2 linked regions of the Daphnia pulex genome follow. The protein of the gene in region 1 purifies or fractionates together with the protein of each later gene. This does not show direct contact. Links are inferred from orthologs where the notes say so. Each region holds a gene or a part of one and is shown on either strand. Other genes may lie near its edges.

What was found.
Region 2: the proteins of transcriptional adapter 1-like (region 1) and ubiquitin carboxyl-terminal hydrolase 22-like purify together in Homo sapiens (affinity purification with mass spectrometry; 4 studies listed by BioGRID and IntAct, with this or other methods). This does not show direct contact. The link is inferred for Daphnia pulex from reciprocal best matches to the Homo sapiens genes TADA1 and USP22.

The regions. Positions count from the first base shown.
Region 1 is NC_060023.1:11,635,787-11,647,274, reverse strand, and holds transcriptional adapter 1-like, read right to left. Parts: upstream 5,451-11,488; 5' UTR 5,359-5,450; coding exon 5,291-5,358; intron 5,232-5,290; coding exon 5,195-5,231; intron 5,136-5,194; coding exon 4,848-5,135; intron 4,781-4,847; coding exon 4,422-4,780; intron 4,352-4,421; coding exon 4,186-4,351; intron 4,120-4,185; coding exon 4,036-4,119; 3' UTR 3,869-4,035; downstream 1-3,868. Other genes in the region: WD repeat-containing protein 5, read left to right, coding at 2,213-2,308, 2,392-2,488, 2,562-2,725, 2,788-2,877, 2,940-3,079, 3,158-3,308, 3,379-3,459, 3,519-3,606 and 1 more; large proline-rich protein BAG6-like, read left to right, coding at 5,939-6,007, 6,077-6,194, 6,264-6,416, 6,479-6,707, 6,767-7,208, 7,271-8,152, 8,221-8,475, 8,551-8,748 and 5 more. UniProt on the Homo sapiens protein: Probably involved in transcriptional regulation.
Region 2 is NC_060023.1:10,807,448-10,819,930, forward strand, and holds ubiquitin carboxyl-terminal hydrolase 22-like, read left to right. Parts: upstream 1-5,725; 5' UTR 5,726-5,940; coding exon 5,941-6,063; intron 6,064-6,123; coding exon 6,124-6,256; intron 6,257-6,317; coding exon 6,318-6,533; intron 6,534-6,598; coding exon 6,599-6,771; intron 6,772-6,880; coding exon 6,881-7,026; intron 7,027-7,095; coding exon 7,096-7,215; intron 7,216-7,289; coding exon 7,290-7,548; intron 7,549-7,631; coding exon 7,632-7,810; intron 7,811-7,897; coding exon 7,898-8,047; intron 8,048-8,141; coding exon 8,142-8,184; 3' UTR 8,185-8,884; downstream 8,885-12,483. Other genes in the region: uncharacterized protein LOC124196741, read right to left, coding at 9,428-9,886, 10,083-10,307, 10,604-11,026, 11,415-11,617. UniProt on the Homo sapiens protein: Deubiquitinase that plays a role in several cellular processes including transcriptional regulation, cell cycle progression or innate immunity.

The sequences.
Region 1 (11,488 bases):
ACGGATCGTTTCGTCCGCGGTCAGATGATTTGGATGAATACTGGCCAGCTATATCAAAATCCTAATAGCAGCAGCGACGCAAGTGAATTCGAGTCTTGCCTGAAATTCTCCAGTAAAGGAGATTTTTTATCAGAATCCTGTTTCGAGGAGAACCATTTTCTTTGTCAAAAGTTTCTTGATTTTTTCCCGCTTAATAGCCGCAATTTATCAAAGACTTGACTTGAACACTGATCACCTGTGTTTTATAAAACAGCAATTATTACACGACCATGCGTTTGTAATTTGAACGAGTTCTAATACAATTTGCATCGGATCTTGTTTCGTTCGGGAAAAACAAAACAAAGGCTAATTTTTAAAATCTCGACAGGAAATTACATTGTGGTTAACCTCACTTCCTGTAATCAAGAATAAGTGTGGAATGGTTCCATTTGTTTGTTTTTTCAAGTCACTTTAGAAAATCCCGTCGCTCAAGAATGATTACAACCAACGACTGTTTCTACTTTTTGAGTTTCTCGTTCATCGTTTTCTTGATGGCCAGTTTGTGCGTGATAGTACCAATTACACCTGTTAGTGCTGAATCCACGAGCTTTTTACAAGAAATTGAAAGTCTCGAGGATGAATATTTTGCACTGATTGAAACGGTAAATCATTTAATCTGTAATTAGTCGTTTTTTAAATTAATTTTCTTTTTGTGTTAATATTAGATTTCAAAGGAGGATCACATTAACGATATCCTGATTCATGGTATGAATGGTTAACTTCTTTTTAGTTATTCACACTCACCTTTCTTTAATTGATCTTTTAATTCGCGTAACAAGGAACTTGCCCAAAACATTTCACGGCCAAAAAATTTCGTTGTTTGAAAGTAAACGGCGAATGCTACTGCATCGTCTCTGAAGATGTATTATAAAACACATATAGAGCAGTCTCATTTAAATGAAATTCAATCACTTGTTGGGTTACATCACTAATTATTTCACAGAGAAACTGGTGGAGTGCTCTCCATTATTGCCGGCAGTACGGCATGGAATTGCTGTCGCTTGAGACGAAAGAAGAAGAAAACAATTTAGCCAAACAACTCAAAGCAGAGAAAAAAAATGGTGATCACGGAAATGTTCTTTACAAAGTATAATTGAATGAAATCTAATTTTCAAAATTTAGTTCAAAAACAATTATACTTGACATCCGGTAATCGTCTTTACGGCAATCGATCAACTTGGATGTGGGCTGGTACAGGCGATATTCTCACGAGAGAAATGAATTGGCAAGAGGGAGAACCATCACGTGTACATGGAAGTACACAAGAAGAATGTCTAATTTGGGTTTTAACGTTTAATGAAACCCTCCTTATTCATGAATGGAATGACTTGAGTTGTACCGATCATCGTTACTCGTTTATCTGTGAATCTAAATCTCTACGACATAGTGCTGATATTTTGAAAACAAATAATTAGATCATTAGATTAAAAGCATTTTACCGTTTACTATTAAATCACATGACTACTCTTGTGTTATAAACGACAAATACGTCTAGATTAGTAGTGAACTACTTATGGTTGAAATGAACATGTTCACCCCATTTCCACTAAGCTTGCGCATGAGATAAAACCTGAACGAGGAAACTCGATTTTAAATTTCAAACTCTTGGCGCGAATCCAGTCTAAACTTGGTTAGTTAATCATAGATGTCGCTGATCAAGTCGACGCCATCTGGTGGACGTTTGGCTCAACACGAGTAGTAAACCCGTGCTGCCGAAAGCGTTGTCACGAATGTTAAGTGTTGCGTTTTGTTGGATTCTCACGTTTTGACGGCGACTTTAATTGGATTCACTTATTACACTATTTGTGTTGAGTGTTTCAGTGTTGCTTGTGACAGTTGGTGAAGAAGAAGAGAACGACCATGTTCTTTATTACCGCAGTTCAGTGCCTGTAATGCAAAATATTATTAAGGCACACAGCTGGGCAAATCTCGTGCGTACCTTACACTAAATAAAAGAAAGGTGTTGAGGCCGTCTACGAATCATAAGAAAAATTTGCAAAAAAAACAAAAAATATTAATACAGTTTGGATAGTTGCCAAACACTGATTAACAATCCTGTGCCAGTGTAGCAGCTGACTGTTGAGTCCACTCATCACTGTCCAGGAAAACATTGTAAATTCGCTATTGTGCTTGAGATTCAAGTATACTGTTGGCAACTTCTTATTTAATCAAAATGGCTGATGATAAAATGAAAGGTGATCAGGATTTTAAGAACCACAGTAATAATTCAACTACTTCTCCTCTTCAAGCAAAGCCAGCATCGGGGTTGGTGAGTAACCCTTCCAACCCGGAATTTTCAATTCTTACAGCATTTTAGGATAAAAAGTAATCTTAATTCAATATTGTATTTAGAAGCCAAACTATGCCCTCAAGTTTACCCTAGCTGGCCACACAAAAGCTGTGTCAGCTGTGAAATTCAGCCCAAATGGAGAATGGCTTGCAAGTTCATGTAAATATTTTGATGGTGTATGTTCAGGAGAATTATATTTCTAATAATGTTATAATTTTTTTATCATGAATAGCTGCTGATAAACTGGTGAAGATTTGGGGTGCCTATGATGGCAAATTTGAGAAATCAATCACAGGTCATAAACTTGGTATCTCAGATGTAGCTTGGTCTTCTGATAGCCGCCTGCTTGTGTCTGCCAGTGATGATAAAACCCTCAAGATCTGGGAACTGAGCTCAGTAAGTCTTTAACCATTTATTTGTGATGTTAGCTCATCTCTAATTCATGTATGTTCTTATAGGGGAAATGTTTGAAGACATTAAAAGGACACAGCAATTATGTTTTCTGTTGCAATTTCAATCCCCAATCCAACTTGATTGTCTCAGGCTCAGTAAGTTTTCAACCACTCGCCTTCTTTAAAATAGGCTATTGACCTTTTTGAATTGTTTGCAGTTTGACGAGAGTGTGCGCATCTGGGACGTCAAAACCGGAAAATGTTTGAAAACCCTTCCTGCCCATTCAGATCCCGTATCAGCGGTTCATTTTAACCGGGACGGATCTCTTATCGTTTCGTCAAGCTACGATGGCCTTTGGTATAATCGTGTTCATTTTACTAAATAAATTCGACCTCTTAATTTTATCGATTGGTGGTGTTGATCACTTGTTTACAGCCGCATCTGGGACACGGCTTCCGGCCAGTGCCTAAAAACGCTGATCGATGATGACAATCCTCCCGTCTCGTTTGTCAAATTTTCACCCAACGGAAAATACATCCTGGCTGCAACTCTCGACAACACACTGAAGTTGTGGGACTATTCCAAGGTGTCATCATGAATTCAACTCTAAAGATTTTTGCAGATTTTACCATTCTTTTTTCTTTGGCTCGTTTCAGGGCAAATGCTTGAAAACCTACACCGGCCACAAAAACGAGAAATATTGCATCTTTGCCAATTTTTCGGTTACTGGAGGAAAAGTACTGCTTTAACAATCCACGTTTCATTCTTTTACTTGAACATGTTTTTCTTTCTGCAGTGGATCGTTTCCGGCTCTGAAGACAACATGGTTTATATTTGGAACTTGCAAACGAAGGAAATTGTTCAGAAACTTCAAGGACACACCGGTAAGGCTTCCTACCGGGGGACCTGCTCCTTCTTTCACATTTAATTTGTCTAGACGTCACACGCGAACTTATATCCCTTCATGTTTCATTCTAGATGTCGTGCTGTGTACTGCATGCCATCCGACCGATAATATCATCGCATCTGCTGCATTGGAGAACGATAAGACTATCAAGCTCTGGCGTTCCGACACGTAGACCGCGCATTTAGCTTTGTCGCAATGAACCAACAACAAAAAATAATGGGAAAAAAGACGATGAAAAGCAGTTTTGAGGTGTGTACTTTATAGGAGAATTTTGAGGAAAAAAAAATGCAATTTCTTGGTATAAAAAAGTTTCCTGGCATTCTTGACTTCTCATGGCCTCCTCGTCGACAATACAAACATCTTTTTTTTTAATCGTTATAATTTCTTTAAGCAAGTAGATTCGAGTTTAATTGGGGTGATAGAGGCGCTGTGAAATGCGTTCCATATTGACGGCGTGCACTGTGTGCCAGGGAATGACGCCCTTTTTAACCTATTGTTTATTCAATAAAGAAACATGAGGATTAGTTTGAAGTTTTGAAATTAAATATCGACTTACTTGTAAAGTTTGAAAAACGTCAAGAACGGAAATCGGTTGAAGTGCGGTAACTTGTTCGGTAGTGCACGCTAGGTAGAATGCGGAATCCCGCTCTGCTTTCTGAGATGTTTGGGGTATGGCAGGAACGTGAGGTGGTTCCGCAGCTTGCGAAATTTCGGTCAGATAACTGATTTAAAATGAGAACACTTAGAAACATTGTTGTTGAAAAAGAATAGGACTGTACAATAAATATTTACCTGTTACTGGTACTGTCTTGGATGGACCATGAATTGTGTAGCCACGGATTAATTGTAGGTTGGCCAACCGAATAGATGACTTTGTTCTCTCGAAGGCGGTACCCTTTCCGGTTTGTTATGATAGCAATTATCAGTTCTTTAAGAAATTGCTTGGTAGCTGCCAGTATCAGTTTGATGGCTTTGTCTTCACAACCATGATCCAAACCAGCATCCCAAGCTGCTACTAGCATTCGACCGTGAACGAGTCCAGCGTCAGGTAAAATTAGATCCTGGCTGCAGTAACGAAGCTGTGGTTTCTCTACAGTGCAAGGAGCAGAAAATGGTAACAGAGAAACTGGATTCACTGGTTGGAATCGATTCTAGATAAGAAAAGAATTATGTTAATCAAGGTCTCCAATGAAAATTCCAATAATTAAGACATATTACATCAAAGTTGACAGTGAGAGGCTTGTTCTTTGGGTAAACTTGTCTTGTCACAGTGATCGGTTTGATTTCAACAGAATTACGTTTCTGTAGAGGAATGGTATGTGGTCTGATTTTGTTCACTTCAGTGACAACAATTGGCTTTTGCTTCACACCATGATAGACATAGGTTGAAGGCTGGCACAAGCTTTGACATTTTGTAACAATGGCCAAAAGAAACTCATTGTGAAGATGAACTTGGTCTACTTTCAGGTACAATCTGGCTTGGCGATCAAACTCTTCTTTGCTTGTCTAAATAGAGAGAATGTCAGTTATGACTGAATGGATAGTATAAAAGAAACATTTCTTACCCTCATACAAAACCACGATTTCAGGTGGGCAAAATAACTAAATAAAACATGATATTAGAGATATACCACCACAAATATCAAATCTGATTTATTTACTTCTTAGAAGAATCTCCCAAAACATCCACCAACCGTTTCCTGGCTTCGTTAACATCAAGTGCATTCATTGTTGTTGTGTTCTGACTTTTGAACTGCTTCGCTCACTTTTTTAGATTTAACTCGCCATTGGATTTCGTCTACACCTGTCTTGCCTCGACTATCGAAAACCACCAAAAGATGGTGCTCATTCCAGGAATTGATTTTCATAAAATAATTTTTTCCTTGAATTTGTCATTGATAAATATAACGTGTAAAATTAGATAAAATCTTGTTCGTAAAATGTACAAATTATCATGAAATTGAAGTGAATTCCTCTTTTACGGTTTAAAACCAAGAGAAATAGGTGGCGTTGTAACACAACTTGGTTCGTAAGCCTATGAATTGTCGGCTGTGTCGTGTCGTGTCGATTCGATGTGGAGACAGTTGCGCCTCTATTTGTTATCGTGTATTATTACAGGCCCGATTTCCAGTTTTCCACGTTAGAGATTTACATTTCGACACCCATTACACAACTGACGTCGGTTCAGAGCCGTCCGGTTAGATCGGTAAAATAAAAAATACTGAAACCGAATAATTATTATTAGTGTGTCTGTATCGTCACCAAACTACAGCGAGGTTGGAACTCGAGGTGGTGAAAGCTAAACAAAAATGGCAAATATTGAAGTTACCGTCAAAACCCTCGATTCGCGTAATCATAAATTCACAGTTTCAGAGGAGGTAAGACCATTAAAAGAAACGACTCGTGAGTTTTAGATAGGGGAAACTAACTGGATTTCTGTTTTGCAGCTCACAGTCAAGGAACTTAAAGAACACATTGCTGGGGATGTAGGAACACCAGCAGAGACTCAGCGTTTGATTTACTGTGGCAGAGTTCTTCAAGATGACAAAAAGCTCAGTGAATATGGTAAATTGAAAATACTCTTTCCTAGCTCAAAACAAATGATTGGCATGTAAATGTTTTTGTGTTTTACAGACCTGAGTGGAAAAGTCATTCACTTGGTCCAGAGAGCACCTCCAACAGTTGGTAATCCTCCTTCAGGACCACCAAGAACTCAAGGATCTAGACCAGGAAACATTCACTACCACCTAGACAGAGGGTTTCAAAATGGTGCCAATCATTCATTTGGTAAATTTCTCATCATTATTAAAAGTAGAAATCTCAATAACAATGTTTACGATCAAATGAAGGTTCAGTACCAGCTCCAGCCGGAAGTAGTTCTCTGTTGCGTTTGAATACAGCCAGACACATGCTGGAGGATGCCTCACAGAGTTTGGGAAGGATCAGTTCAGTTCCCAGCACTGGTTCACTCTTTACAATGGATAATACTGCTGAGGGACCCTACTCATCCATACAAATGGTTCAAGCACAGGCTGCCACTGCTATAGCTGCTGCATTTTCAACTGTTCAATCCTTGGGGTAATGACAAACCTCCAAACTAAAAAACTAAAAATGTTAGTTACGTTTCTTTTTATCAGGGCAAACAATATTGCCGTGTTGCAAGGACCTAATGGATCACCAGCAGTTCAAGGATCGTTTGGTTTTCGGGTGCAAGGGCCTCAACCAAATAATCCACCAGAGAGTGGCAGTGGCGCGAGCGAACGCGTAAGTCCTACAGCTCCGACTTCAACAACACCCCCTTCAACAACTCCTCCTTCAACCACCCCATCTGCAACTCCTTCGTCGGCTCCTTCGTCAGCTCCGTCGTCAGCTGCAGCTCCTCCTGGTGACCAACAACCTCGACAACAGCAAATTCGAAATCCTCGAGTGTCTGTCTTTGCCGATGTCATCGAAGATATGGAACGGATCCAGCAGGATCTTCGCCCTCATTTGACAACCGTCCGTCAGCTCCTCAGAGATGATCCCGTATTGGACAGCACATCACCTGAATACCGGCAAGCACAACACACCTACAACCAGGTTCAGTAAAATCATATTATATTTTCCTTTCCATGTTTTTCAATTGATTTTTGATCCAAAAGGTAGCCGAAGGATTGCACTTTTTGGCCCACGCTTTTCACGCCATGAGCGATTTAATGGTTGACTTTGGAACTCCCCCTCCTCGTGAAGTCCGTGCTAGACCCTACGTCTACCAACAAGTTCTTTCATCGACCATACCCATTCACGCTTCAATCAGCGTCGAGACTACACATACCCACCGAGCTCCTCAGACACAGGCTAACCCAGCAGCTCCTGAGGCCGCTACAGCTCCTCAACCGCAACCAGCGCAAGCTCCTCCGCGATTGCCCACAAGAATATCTCCTCATGAGTTCATCCGACACGTTACCCGCCCACCCACTGCAGCTACTGCTGCCAATCCATCAGTTCCTCCAACTACAAATCCGACATTTCATGGTTGGCGGGCTGCTGGAACGACCGGAACGGGTGTAGCTAATGCATCGGCGCAGAATCCCCCAGCTCCAAGAGCCTCAGTCCAAATGCTGCACCCTGAAATGCTGGTCAGGGGAGGACCGCACCCGTTTGGACGTTTGCCTTTAGCCATGGCGAGTCAAGGAGGCTGGACCCCTGTCAATTTAGGTGGTCAAATGCATCCAATGTCGCTCTTTATGGAAGTTCGCTCGAACAACAATCAACAGGAAGATCAACAAGCGTCTCGTGGGCAATCACCAACATCTTTGGGCGAATTTGACGACTTTTTACCGTGTCATTCTCGACATGTTACCCGCTCGTCTTCATCCAGACCCGACACTGAGCGAGCCAGACCACGCCCAGTGGTTGTCACTTCCACGTCGGCGGCACAAGCTTTTCCCGGTCTCAATCAAACCCGTCCACCAGGCCCTGGAAATCAACCGACAGCCGTTCCGGCCTCCGTCGACGAATTTATGAACGAAATGTTTCGTCAGGTAATTGCGGCATTGAAAATTGCGAGAGGAAAACATTGATAATGATTGGTCATTAAATGGAAATTCAGGTGACGGCCAATAGCGGTGTACTATCAGGCGGGGTAGTAGCAGGTGGAACGAGTGGTGGAGATGGATCCAGCAGCCCTAATCCAGTGTTAACCAACGCCTTGTTTAGTAGTTTGCTCCAGGGAGTCATGCAAGAAGTTGCGGGTGTGGTGAGTGGCCATCAGTCGCCCAACACGGTGGCCCATTTCTTACGCAACATTCCTGATTTCACTTACACGGCCGGCGAGTCGTTCCTCTTTGACCTCTTTATGACTATGGTGAAATTTACCTTGACGATGATGAAACGATCCATTCAAAAACTAACAGCTGACCTTTATTTTTTGACTAAAAAGGCGGATCACATGACATTCCGTGATTTGATGGCCCTATTTTACGGAATGCCGGAGGCTTTGAACCAGATGAGAGATCATTTGAGGAATTTCGCTCGTCAACGAGTCTTACCTTCCGGTGGTGACTTTTCAGACCCTTCCGTCCGACAGGGCATCATGACACTGGTCAATCAAGCCATGCCCTTACTCCAGAGTGCTGCCGTAGGACACGATTATTATTATTACATTTTTCATTTCAAGTATTGACTAAATTGTCTGGTTTTAGGCCGAGGCCAGCATTCGTCCCGATGTGGATTTCGTCGCTACCATGGCCCAATTCATCCAGCAGTGTCTTCACGAAGTCATCCAGTTAATTGGAATGCCAGGTATTATTGAACTTGTACTTGACGTTGATAGCTGATTGACTTTTCTGTTTTGTTTAAGGTGAAAATCCGAATTTCGGCCAACTGATGATGGATAAAATCCGCCGGACTTTAATACTCGCTGCAGCTTTAGCCCTCAATTGTTTCACCGATGGTTCCACTAGTCTTGAACGCGTTTTCCTATCTCAGTTGGTAGGATATTAAATGAATTATTATAATGAATTGAGGCGCTAATTGTTTTGTTATTAAAATGTAGCGTGGAGTATCGGATGGAGTTCATCCAGCAGTCCAAGAGTGGACGACAAATTCGTCGATCGAACGTCTTCGTTCACTTTTGGCTTCCGTCGATTTGGATCAACTGACGCCAACTATTGAGCCCATGGTGATGAACACGGAACGCGGAAGGACCTGGACTGCCCTTTTCAATGCAGAAGTGGAAGAGATGACCGACACAAATTCACCGGCCGCAGCGACCGTCGTTGCTCCCGAGTCTGTTCCCCCAGTGGCTACTGGATCGACGGCACCAGTTGAAGAAGAACCGATGGATGTGGTAGAAGAGAAGACGGAAGAAGCAGCATCCGCACCAGTTTCTGCACAGCCCGCAAGACTTAGTCGACTAGAGAAACTCCGCCAAGATGTTCGTCAAAAGGAATCCAGCCAAGTGAAACCTCCAGAGCCGGTCATTGACGTCGTCATGGGCTCTCAGTCGTGGCACAACGAAGTCCCACGGGTCAGAATTTTTAGAAATCGTTTTTCATTCCACCCAAATTTTTAATTAATTTTGTTTTTAAATACAATTTTCTGACAGGAATGGGTACCGGTGATTGCCCGTGATATCCAACGTCAAAATCGAGCTCCGCCAAATGTGCCGCTCAGTGACGCCTACCTGGCCGGAATTCCCAATAAGCGACGCAAGTTGGCCGAAGGCAATCGACCCAACACAAATCCTCAGTTGCTCCTCCAGGGTAATTAATTCATTCATCATATTTTATACAACGTTTGTAAAACCCTTTTTTTTTTTAATTTCTGAAATGTTAGAAACGATGGAACGCGCCCTGCGTTCTGCCAACGTCTCGTCGGCCGCCGTTGGTGAAGTAACGAATGTGGCCACTGCCAATGTCGAAGTGGGCAGCGCCCTTTTGCCGGAAATCCGCCGTTTGGGCAACGCCAGGCTGGACACGGACGCCGATTTCGATGCCGAACGTTTCCCTAACGCAGAGCGATACTTTCACGGAAACACTTAAAGAGTAAATAATAATAATAATAATAATAAAACAAAAACAACAAAGAATCGCCTCCACCCTGCCCTATTCTCTACCCCCATATAATTAATTAATCGGCCATTTTTCATGTTTTTTTTTCCCTTCTTCTTCTTCTATTGAGTCGCCATGTGTTTTTCATTTGTTCAAATTCGATGTAGGTGGAGTGGGCGATTTCGATCCTAATTGACTTCGATCGAATCATCATCATCTGATATAAAAAAAAGTAATAACTTTTCTTCATTTTTTTCCCTCTCATTGTTTATCCGTTTGTTTTCCGCCCATCAGCTTTTTGATTTAGTGGTTCCCTCTTCCTAAATTTTGTTTTTCTTGTAAAAGATAAAAATCAACCAAATGTTGGAAAGTTGTGCGAGTGTCATCAATATTTTGATTTCCCTACATTTTCCCGTCAATGGCCATCAACAAACTTTTTTTCCCCTTTTCGCTTGATGGCATACCCACCATAAACAAAGACAATTTTCTTTGCAATTTGGATTGTTTTTTTTTTTGTCTGCCTAACACGGAAATTGATAGATGATTGATTGAATAAAGATTTCTTTTTTTGTTTAGCTATTTTTCACCACTAGGTGGCGCTGATTATTTCATTTTGAAACTAAATGTTCTTCAAAAAAAAACTAGGATTGAAGAAAACTCAACACACACAATTTGGTTTTCCCTTTTGACATGTAGGAGGAATGGCTTTGATTAAAGAAGAGAGACACCGGCAGGGTTTGTTGACACACTTGACTTTGGGAGGTCATGACGGAAGTGATGGAAAAGAAGGTCTTCCCAGCAGCATCGGCAAAAGTCATCAAAGGCGATCGATTCATGGCCGATTGATATCGTTTGATGGAGGGAAAGATTTCTCTAACTTTTAATTGAATTTCCTATGGAAAAACCTTGGGATGTCTTGGATGACTCCCGTATGTTATTCATTATTGAATTCATGTGCTCCATCCGAAAGGGATCAGTTTTCTTCAGTTCCGGCCAAGGTTATGATTTTTTTTCGATAGAAAATTCGGAAATGTCGAAAATAGCTTGAGAATGTGCAGCAGCTAAAAAGCGGCAAGAGGACAGCGACCTCGACGGATTCCGCCAGTGTAGAAAGTGTTTTAAAAAACCCCATACACCCACACACACATGACAGTAGTAGTACAACAATAATAACAAATTCGTAAAAAAAAGGGAAAGAAAACTTTCTATCCGCTTAGCGCTTTCCACCACGATGCAGCAACTTCCAGGGAATTCACACACAATTGCATTGGTAAACAACTTTTGCTACTGTTGTCTAAAAAGAGCTATAGAGAGAAATCTTCCGGG
Region 2 (12,483 bases), about 830 kb from region 1:
CCATCTAGAAAATGGAGGACAGCACGAAATAGGAAAAAATAGTAAAAGAGAAAACCTTGAGACTCTTCTAATCCGGACAAACGAACCTGAAAGGAGAAGAGGGCGAAGAAAGTTCAAATAAGTACCAAATCAATCAATGGGGGGATTATATGAATTTGAGGGACGTGATTCTAGACCTAAAAGAATTAAAACAAATTTTCTCAAGTCAAACGCCGGCGGAGGGCATACCTGTAAAAATCCAGGATGACTCGACAAAACTTGTCCATTTCGTGTGGGGGTGTACTACACAATAAAGGCGAAAACGTCCTTGAATAAGAAATTTACAAGCCACTGCATAGACAAGGGGATGTTGTTATTTGATTTACATCCCCTCGCCTTTCATTTGTTTCCTATATTTCTCGCCTATTGTCATTAGACAATGTAGCGCTGGCAAGGCCTTTTCGTCAAAGGAAAACACGGAATCACTCGACAAGGCAGCGACGATTGTCGGGAAATGGCATAGAAAACCAAAAAAAAAAAAAAGGAAACAATTCCAAGTGTTACCTGTCATCTATACGGTGGCGAAGACACAGAGAGATACACCAATTTTCTGTGTGCTGGAAAAAAAAGGATGCGGATCGTTGTCTCAAGGTTGCCGGAAGGAGAATCAAGACGATTTCTGCGGAACGAACCAATCCAGTGTCCCCGAAGAAAAATAATACCAAGGCGGGAAACAAGAATCGTGTAACGAAAATCTCGAAGTTTTTTTTTTTTCAATTTCCACTACGCCGCGTTGATTCGTGCCGTGTGTTGATTTAATTGTAAAACGAAAAAAAGAAACCGAAAATAATTCATTTCCAAATTCAGGAGAGACAACAAGGTCGGTGACGTGACATCTTGTCTCAAGTTCAATCTTCTCCTCCTCGTCTCAAAGTGGTTAAAAAAACGTCATTTCTTTATCACCTGTTGTTGGTGAAACATCTTCTTTTTTTTGTTTTCCCGCCCGGCCATAATCGTTTGGCAGAAGCTCTAAACGCATCAACTCCCGCCCCGTCATCTCGGCTTCGTTTTGCGTAACGTACAGTAGCACAAGAAGAGGACTCGAGTCGTCGTCTTTTCAAACTCGAGTGGGTCCTCTTCTTCTTTTGATGGTTTTACAACGCCGACCTTGGCCGTCCGTCAACAAGTGACTAGTAAGAAAAAGAAAAAGAAGAAAACCTGAAATAATAAAAAAAAGGAGAGGAATTTTAGTGACAAACTTTTTAGGTTGCAACTTGCCAACACCTCATCACGCAACACGTCGTCTATAGCTGGTTGGTTACGGACCGTTGATGATTATGGGCCCCCGCATGCAAAGTCATTTAGTATTTAGTAATTGCGCAGCACGTAGAGTGAGAGTGAGACACCCAACCAATTTCATTCTTTAGGCCGTCAGGATGATTCCGAATATGTTGATTTACATGCGGAGAGAGAGAGAGAGAGAATATAAGCGCAAAAATAGTGTAGAGGAGGAAAAATGGTGAATACAACATACCAGGACACTTTCACTTTCTTTCTTGTTATTATCTACGTAAGAATATTCCTCCAGAGGCGTCATCGACCGGACTCGGGTTCTTAATAACTCGGAAAATGGTTTTGTTTGGCTTCGTTCCCACTTCGAACCATTTCTTTTTTCTTCTTTCTAACTCGTAACCGAAAGATGGTCAGGAGTTACACAACAACAATTTGGAAACGGGTTTGGGTGAATGCAAATTAATTTAGACATAATGAAAGCTGTAAATTATATTATGTCCTTTTTACCAAAAAATATATTCGTCTGGTGGGCTCTGCCGAAATTGAATTTTGTGAAGGCCGCGGTCGTCAAACTACAAAATATTCAAAAAATGATCAAATAAATAAATTATAAAGGGGAATATGATAATGGAAAAGATGGACCGGCTCGTGCTTAACCCGGCGTCAGATTACCAGTTTCGATAAGGGGAAAAAAAGAAATACAACAACTTCCAGGTTTAGGAAAAAATAAAATAAATTTTCTTTCCATCTCTTTCAAATTTCAACCAACACGAAATAGGATTCCGAATCGGTCGACGACTCGGTCGGAATCGTTGATGCGGAACGGCGTACACGAGAAAAATAAAATCCTATCACGATCTTTCGTCTTCTTCTTTTCTCTATAAAAAATAAAAAAAAAACCCGAAACGAATAAGAATCAAAAGTAATCCCCTATGTGTAGAGAGGAGAATACAATCAAGGACATTGTTAGTTTAACAATTCCAGAAAGAAAATCTCCTATTGGGCTTCTCAAATTCGTTTTTCTCCTTCATCTTCTTTCGTCAGAAACATCTAAATTCGATTTTTTTTTTAAGATTTCAAGACCTAGCCGGGGTTGTTGCTCCTGGATATATCGTGTAGTTAAAACTCTTTCAGTTCTGGTTTGACCCCGAGATCGTGCAAGAGCTCGGTGGCGGCGGTGGTGGCCATCAACTGGCAGCAACAACAAAAAAGAGTTTCCACTCAATTGGTGCTGGACGTGTAGATGAGATCTGGTTTTGGGTCGGCCGGCTCAACCCGTTGGGTTCCTCAATTTTGTTCAAAGATCATTGTCCTAATGTGTCCTCGCCCCTCAACTGATTATTTGACCAAAAGACACGATCTCGAGACAAAACACTTTCCAATCGATAAATTCCGATTTTCCTGAAAACTTTTTAATTAGCAAAAGTTAAAAAAGAAAAAAAAGGAATTGGGACAAATGGAGAGAAGACGAAAAAATAAACACGTTCAAAGCAAAATGTGTGTGTGTGACGGGCGAAATTTTCTCTCTCCATTTCGCTCCAGGTGATTTATGATTCCCCGACTGTGCCAATAGAACGGGCACGCAGAGCTGGCACACAAGAGCGTGCTGACCCATTTTCGATTCTTCTGCCAATATTGTTCGCACTGTGGTCAGCCCTATTGGCGCTCGCCTAGCTAAGGTCAACCGTCGTCTGTGTGATTGACATAAATTGATCGGTCCGCGATTTCCACCGCATATGAAATAATCTGCCCAGTCATGCTCACGTAGGCTACCGTCTCTCGTGTGTCTATAATAACTGCCGATGTTACGTGCGTCTTTTTTCTGGGGGAATTTCGGTGGGCATTTCGACATACCGGATTCTCGAATGATGAAAAGGTCAAACGAAAAAAGGGAAAATAACTTTCGATTCTTTTTTGCTGTGCGTTTCCATCTGACATTTCAGCCAGGAATAAAAGAAAAACCTGTTTTTCGATGTTGAGCATACACCAGGGAGGGCCAACAACTTCGGAGGAGAAATATCCGACACACAGAGAAAATGCGAGAGAGTTTGTTCGTGTGTTTGTGTAGAAAAAGAAGAAAGGGAGAGGAATATATAAATAAGATGAAGGTTTCAGATAGATTCTTCTTCTTCTTCTTTCTTTTCTTTTCTATACAAACAGACTATCCAGCCGAGTCAAATATACACACGGCGATGTAGGACTTGTCCGCCGAGCAAGTCCGATGGCTCTCGGTTGATATAAGGTACAAGGTCACCACCTTCCTGGTCATCCCAAGACTAGAAGCAAGACACTCAAAGAAGAAGAAGAGAAATACCTGATGTCTGTGTAGTTTTTTTTGTTTATTATCTTGCGCTCCTCATCATTGGAATAGGACGACCCTGGAGACGATATTGGGATGGATGTCCAGTCTCTTTCAGCTCCTTTCTCTCTCTCTCTCCTCTTCGACTCTGCAGGTAATAAAAAAGACAAACGAAAAATATAAACAAAATGGTTAAATGTAATAGACCCATAGAGTTCAGGACCCACTGGGGGGAAAATAGGTAAAAAGTAGTCGAAAATAGCTGTTATCCCCCCATCTCCAAATGAAAATGGAACACAATCAGGATTGGTGGATTGTTGTGTTGAAAGAAGAAATAGGGGGGGACTGGGTCACTGTGCTTAACCTTGTGCCCCATCGCCCATATAAACACCGAGACCAAAAGAGAAACAAAAAGTCGGTTGTCAGTTGGGATATTTGTTAAAATCCCAATGCCACCCAGCAGAATATAGAAAAGAGTCAAAATGTATGTGCACACCTTTACACCCAAATGTGGAAGAAGATTCTTTTCTGTAACTACCTCAACAGTTGGGCAGGCCCTGACCTTGCCAAGAGGCTCTAGGGTTGCCATGAAAATATTTTTTCTAAAACGTTTACGAATCAAATAAAACGGATAACATTCATTTGAATCGATAAAGGGGGACACCAGCTGGGCAGCTGGTCCCTTCCAAAACATTCGAAAACCAGGAAAAATGTTTCTCAGTTGTTACGTGTGTTCAACAATGCGAGGATGAACGAACAGACAAGATGTAGGAAACTCTCCAGCAGGCCCTTTAACAACCGAAGAAGAAGAAGGGTGAGAATGACTCGGTTGGTTGGCAGCGAAAAAAGAAAAGAGATGAAAAACACAATTCCACGATGGCCGATTATGGCATAATTGGATACACCAGCAGGTCTCGAGAGAAAAAAGGGAATTACCGTATACTTATATGGGCTGGTCATCAGCAGGGCGAAGCCATAGGGTTGTTGGATACGTTTGAAAGTATAGAAAAACATGTATATACTTAAATATTGGGAAGCGAGTTCTTCTCCAGCGGCCATTTAGACACATTTCCAGTTTCTTCTTCACGTCCTCGAGGGGCTTTGGGAGTCCTTTTTTTTTCTATTATCAGCTATAAAGTTAAGCTTCGAGAACCTAAAAGAAAAGAAAAATAAAATGAAAAAGAATCCATTTTGAAGGGCATTTCGACTATATAACACTGGCAGACATCCCCAAGTTCTTTTCTTCAAGATTTTGACTTTCAAGGCCACAAGATTATTCCACAACAGCATCATTATTCACGACACATCGTGTCCAATTGGATATCACATGGTTTTTTGGCCACCTCGAAAGCGTTATTATGAAAATTTCGCGTCAAGAATGACTTAACACGTGGGGAGAGATAACTATTTACACACACACACCAGCTGATTGACCATGTCGAATTTATTAACCTTGGATTGATCTTAATTCATTCAGACATGTGGCGATTGAAATGCATCGCCGACATAATCTAGTTTGATTGCCAAAATTGATTGCAAACCAGTTGCCACTTACTTATGGCAGAAATGTGATGTGTTGCACACGTCGTCGATCTCGGCCATTGTGGTCGAATATCGTCGATAAAGGAGACGGTGACGTTTGGTTATTTCACGGCTCGTTGCAATAGCTCAACTTTCGATTTTATTCCACTCCGTTTCACTTCATCCAAGGGCTTCATCATCCGTGTAAACATCACTTTCCAACATTGTTGTTTTTTTAATGCAAGAGTTTCACATTCCACGAGCATTTTGATTCTGGCAAAACGTCTTCTTCGAAATCCCGACCTCATTTTCACCCAGCCAAAACATTGCCAATTATCTTGAATTCGGAAGAAAAGGGGGAAACAAAAACACGTTTCGTTCCAATCTTTTGAAATCATTATATAAAATGAGGTTATCTCCTGGGGAATTGCTTCCTGCACCAAAAAAAAAGTTCACTAGTCCATGTATTATTTCCGAACAAAAGCTAGCGGTTACCACATTTCCGGCGGCCAGGATATAATTGATTTGTTGTCTGCGGTTTTCACACAAAAATCTCCCTCCATTTTTCCTCAAAAAAATCTTGTCTGCTCAACGTTGCACGAGGTTGTTATTTTGGACAGAAGATGGCGATGGCGCTTTACCATTTTAGCAGAATAAATTTTTTTTTTTGGCCTACAGAAAAGGAAAGAAGCTATGGCGTTTAGATAAATTGTTTCTTCTTGAGAAAGCCGTCGAGGTTGGGCTTGTAGAGGCCGAAATTTATTAATTTTCTATAAGGTCTCTATTAAAACGTGTGGAATTATAAAGCCGCCAACATTTTGCCCAAGTCTAATTCACCGTCGGTGGCCATGTCGGCTGCCCATGGCTGTCTCCACTTGAACAACTTCAAAGCGGCCAAGGGGACTAGGCCCTACCGGCTCATTCATTCCTTTTTTGTGGCATGCACATCTTCAGAAGCCCGTAAACGCAAGGTAAGAGTTCAAGTATTGTTTCTTTTAAATCACTCCTTTACTCATCATTTTTGTTGCTAGGCCAAATCGTGTGTGTGTCATGTCTGTCAGCGAAGAGGACCCAGGCTTCATGCCTGCCTTCACTGCATTTTCTTTGGCTGCTATGGTGCTGGTCACATACAGGCCCACTCTCAGCAGCGGAAACATTTCTTAGGTAATTCGACAACCAAAAATCAAATCTCATTGATACTAATGCAGCCTCCTTTTTTTTACAGCTGTAGATCTGACTTATGGAGTTGTGTGCTGCTTTCAGTGTGGGGATTACGTCTATGACCGAGAATTGGAAACTATTGCTCAAAAGCATCAAACCAAAGCTTCTCTCTCCTTGGGACTGGGTCAAGTCTATCATTCATGGGAACCTTCTGAGGAAGAAATTGAGCTCCTCAAAAAGCATACACGACGCAAGAAGATCACAGACTCTGCCACTATCGGTTCATTATTTAAAAAAATTCATTATCCAATCTTTTATCTTAACTCCATGTTTCATTCATGGCAGGACTCAGAGGTCTAGTGAATTTGGGCAACACCTGTTTCATGAACTGCATAGTACAGGCTCTCTTAAAAGTACCTCTTCTCAGAGATTTCTTCTTGTCGGATCGTCATATTTGTCAGTTCCAAGACGAACCGAGTCGCTGTCTGGTCTGCGAAATCTCTCGCCTATTCCAAGAGGTATGTCATCCAAAAAACAAGAATCCTCGTTTCCTGTGAGAAATCTATTTTCGGATTCATAACACTCCTACTAGACTTATCGCTTCTTTTTTAATCTTCTCTTTCGCAGTTCTATTCGGGGAACAAGGCTCCTCTGACATTGCACCGACTTCTTCACTTGATATGGACTCACGCTCGTCATTTAGCTGGATATGAACAGCAAGACGCCCACGAATTTTTCATAGCAACTTTGGATGTACTCCATCGACACTGCAGGTGAAATTATTCATTGGCTATAAAAGTCGTGAGAAACGTGACATTCTAAATATAAATGATTTTTAACAGAGGACCAAATGAGCAACAGTCGACTCAGCCTCAAGAGAACTCTGTCAATCGGTGCACATGTATCATAGATCAAATTTTCACTGGTGGTTTGCAGTCAGACGTCGTTTGTCAAGCTTGCCAGTAATAACTATTTCAAATGTTTGATGTCCTAAATTTGCTGGTCTTAACGGTTATTTTGTTTTTGTTCACTGCAGCGGTGTCTCTACAACAGTAGATCCTTTTTGGGATATTTCCCTGGACCTCGGTCCGTCACCCAGCACGAAAGTCGTCACCACTGGCAACGGCCCTGGATCGATTCCCACTTCCTTGCAGGACTGTTTGGAGCGATTCACCCGGGCAGAGCACTTGGGATCTTCGGCTAAGATCAAGTGTTCGCGATGTCTTAGCTACCAAGAATCCACAAAACAACTGACGATGAAGAAACTGCCAGTGGTTGCTAGTTTTCACCTAAAGGTGCGTATTGTTTTGTTTTTTTATTGACTTTGAACGTCATATTATGAACCACTCATCGTTATTTTTTTCTTTACTTTATGCAGCGCTTTGAACATTCCAATCGATTCCATAAGAAGATCTCGTCATTCATCGCCTTTCCAGAATACCTGGACATGAGTCCATTCATGTCCCACCGTCGAAACATCAATAACAACGTCAATTCGGATTCTCCGGACCGGGCTGATAGGCCCGTCCACAAGCCCCTTATTTCCACTGAAAACATGTAAACTTGTTGCTCGGTTTATTGAGAAAACGACCGAATGTGACTGTGACGGAATCCTCGTTGCTTCCTTCCTTCTCACCCCACCAGGTATTCTCTATTTGCTGTGATCAACCACGTCGGAACCATTGAAGCCGGTCACTACACGGCCTACATCCGGCAGCACCGAGACCATTGGTTCAAGTGCGATGACCATCTCATCACCAAAGCTGATATTCGCGACGTCCTCCAAAGTGAAGGGTATCAAATATTCCACAAAAACAAACTTAGTTTAAAATATTTTGCAATTTGCTTGGTTGTTCTTGGATATTAATTGGGTGATTTGGTTTTTCAGGTACCTACTCTTCTACCACAAGATGATATTGGAGTATGAATAGAAATGGAGAAGAAAAATGTTTGTAAAGGGCAGCTCAACCGAGTCAACTTTTTTTTTTTTGCATGCAACATCCATCCCTCCATTCACAAGACCTTTTTTTTGTTTGTTTTGTTTTTCCTTTTTTAATTTCCCTTTCTCACTTCCACTTCCAGACAGTTCATCGGCGGTTAATGACCGTAGAAAACGACCATTTTCATTTTTTCTTTTTTCACGATTCAATAAAATATGAAAAAAACACAAAATGGTTAGAACAAGGAATTGAAAGACGAAAAAAAAAGCGAGATTTCTCTGACATAAACCCTCCCATTGGTGTTTCTGCCCTTTGGATTCTTTTGATTGTAAATCCCAAGCAACTCTCTCTCCACCCCGCTCCTCCTTCGATCAAAGGTATATATAGTCATTTCCGGCTATTCTCCACCCGAACCCCTTCTCCCGAATCCGAATCACATACACGAGATCTACTTAAAACAGGAAACAAAAATGGACGAAGACCACACGACCATCCGCAATTGATTTATTTTTATTTTTGCGGATGGCTGGATTTCTTTCCCTATTTTATTGCGCACCTTCGATTTTCTTTTCGACATACTCTCTCGAATCTATGTGTTCAGTGTCGTTTCCTAGCTCTCTTTTTTTTTTTCTGTGTGTCTGCATGTGTTACGTCGGTCGTGAAATCAATAAAACAAAAACAAAAAAGTTAAGATGAACGAACGGAATCAATCCCGATTGAGGTCAGAACAAAGAGAGAGACGCGGAAGAAGAGAAAGCGTGACGTCGTCTGGGGGAGGGGAGGTTGACAGCAACGACGGATATCCGAAGTCGCGAGAGAAAGTTGTAATAGGCCCTCATCCATCGACTTGGTAAATTCAGGAAATTAGTTGGAAGCACAAAAACATCCCCCCTATTCAAAAAGAAACGAAAAGTTGAGATGTCTGATGACTGCGTTGGGAAATTTTCTTGTTTAAACGAAATGTGTTTCAGAAAATAAAAAAAAAAACGACACGTTTGAATGACAGCGCGGTTGCCGTCAAAAAAGGGTTGGCTGGAAACATGTTTCTTATCTCTATGATATTTCAATTTACAAATGAATCAAGACAGCCACTATTCTATAGCAAAACATTATTCTTCCTTTTTTTTTCCTTTTGAGTGGGTTAGAAAAACAAAAATCAACGAATGATAAAGAAATAATTGAGACGATTTAATTGTACAATAAAGAAAGGACGTGGTGGTTTAACTTTGGGCATTCAGAACATCTCGCGTTTATCGGTGGCGCCGCTCTTGACGCTGCCGCTGGCCTGTGCCGGAATCGTCATGGAATGTAGGATGAATTCTTCGGCAATGTCGCGGTCCATCCCCGTGTAAATGTAACCGCTGACCATACTCTCACCGTCGACGTCCATCGATGGCGTCGTCAGCTGTTGCGGTGGGGCCATACCGAAAGAGATGAATTGCTGAGGCCCACCAGTCGTCGGTCGTTTCGGTTGATGTTGAGTCGCTTCCGGTTGGTCTTCGGCCTCGCTGCGAGACTTGCGGACTCGTTTCTCATCCGAGCTGCTCTTGTTCTTCTTCTTTTTGTTGTCTTTCTTATTGTTGTTGTGCGGATTCTCACAGCGAGACGGGCCGGGAGTAGCGGCTGTGGGTGCAGCCGGAAGACTGGCCATCTCTGGCGGCCGGTGCATGTAATTAGCGTGGTGGTGCATGTGCTGCATAGAGGAAAAGTCATAACTCAGCACCAGATAGTAAATAGTCAACCAATAATGATACGTTCATGTTTTAAAACGAAAAATAAACAGTGAGTTTCATAGTTTCCAGTTGATTTATCTTTCTCTTTTTTTTATATTAGTTGACACACCGGCGGCTGGAAAAATAAAAGAATCGTAAAACCCGTGGACTACTAACCGGTGGCATGCTGGACGGGTGGTGGTGATGAAGAGAAGGAAGGCTCGTGAGCGAGTAGAAGGCTGGTCCGGAAATCATTGGCTGGAGTACGGGGACGGCACCGGCTGGAATGACGTAAGCGGTCGGAGCTCCGGTAACGAACGACGGGAAACCGACTGGCGGATGCCCGCCAGCCGCTGGCGTCGTCGGAATCGCAACTGGAATCGGATGGGCCACCATGGGGACCTTAATTGAAGAAAATACGTTCAACATTCGAAACGTGTGCGCAACATTTCCAACAGCATAATAAAAACAACCCAAGGCAAAGTAACACTTATTTAAACTTGGGTGTGTGCGCAATCACTGTACGGTTTGACCAGTATGTACAGTTTGCTACTACCAACAGCGAGTATATTAACGGTAAATTATTATCCAGCCTAATTCCGAGAGGCACAATGTAATCATAATAACGGTAATGACGTCAAAGGAATAATAAAGGAAAGAAAGAAAGAATAAGAAAATCTTTTGATTGTTGAAATCACCTGTGGGCTATAGAGGCGTCGGAGCAGAGGTGGCGGTGGTGGACGTCTTTGTTGTTGTTGTTGTTGCTGGTGATGATGAGACTGGCGCAACCAGCGTAACAGACGGTAAGCTCTGGCCTGACCCTCTGGGCTTTGATCGGCCGTCAGGAGATTCATATTGGGAACGGAACCGATGCGATTAGCGCCAATTTTGTGATGATGGCTACTGTTGCAACTGCTGTTACTGTTGACCAGTCGACGGTGTTGGCCGCCGCCTGCCGAAGTCTGGGGACCGTAACACAGACACGCTTCACGCAGGCAAATCACCACGGCCGCCAGCGACAGGATCGTCGACAAAGTTCCTATGGCAACTAGAACGGCGTTGATGATGATTGGCCGCTGCCTCAACGGCACAGTTCCGAGGAATTCCACTCGACTCCCTTCCTGTTATCCCAAATAAAAAAAAAACATCCAATTTGTCAATTTTTTCACGGCTAGTTGGACACCAATTTAATGAGAAACGTGTGCAATAAAAAAAAATCTGGGTTTCTGGGGTCTCGTAATTGGGTGGCATTGACGGTTCAAATTCTTCAAATGAATATCAAAGTCGCTGGCCTTTGCACAGCTGCTGGATATGCTCACGGTTCAGAGCGTCGACAATATAAAAGGCGCGTTGCGCAATGTTGGTTTTGCGGCATGAAAATGGGACAACAATGTGGATGACTGGGTGACGGGAATGTTTCGTCGGGAGGGCGGGTTTTTAGAAACGCTTCGTTTACTCTCCCGTGACCTTTTAAAAGGATGGAAGAAGAAGATTCGTGTTATTGAGTACCTCTTGATCGACAAAGTATCCGTGAGGTGCGTCCGAGTCTCGTGCCAGTCCAGTAGCGGCGAAGATGAGCAATAGACCGATGGCGGCCAGGGCCAGCACACTCATCAAAAGGTAGGCGACGATGTAGATCAGGTTGGTGCGCTTCTGGCCGGCCATGATGCCCATAAGGCCGCTGAGTATCACAACAGCTCCCGTCCATAAACCTTGAAAAATGTTCGATCAAAAGTTATTTTTTTTTTTGTTTTTGTTCCCATGGCTGTCACTCGGCTTGCGGTGTCGGTCGTTCAGACTGTTGACCATCATCGAATATGTGTAACGAAGTCTTCACGAAAAAAACAAAAAAAAATCACGTCACGTTATTATTACGGGAGGGAAAAATGAGAATCAACGTGAGAAACCAAAATAAGTTTCTTGTCCTATACCAGCCAGTCATCCGTCAACAGACAGCTGTGCATGGTCCATTGAGAATGATACCAACCTATAGCGCTGCCTGCCACTGATGGAAAACCCAAGGTGTGACAGTCCCGACCCACAATTTTTAATTTTTTAAGTTCGCAATGATTTTGTCTTTCTTCTTTTCTCCGGACGTTAAAGTTCCAGGGTCTAATTGGTCGCTACCTGCAAGGTGTGAAAGAGAAGGGGAAGCGCTCCAAACTTTCTCCAAACATTACACTAGACGTTGGGGTTAGCTACGAAAATTGTGCTTTCCCGAAAATTACGTCCATTTAAACCGCTCGGCGCAGTTATTATTACATTGTGAACGCTCTTTCACGATTTTTTTTTTAAATTTATTCCGAGGGGCTGCCGTTTATGGAAATAGGGTCCGCTATTCTCCGCTTCCCTTTTTCTTTCTCCAACAGGTTGTATAGTATTAAGTTTTTTATTATTAGCTATATAGAGGCGGGGGCATTGATGATTTAGGAAATTGACTGCGATGTTTATCTATTTTTACGATTCTCGCGTGAATGAAACATTTTGCTATTTGATAGACCCGCGAGGGACTTACCAATGCGTCAATTCGCGATCATAAAACTAGCTCAAATTGCGTCACACGCACAAATGCGACGGG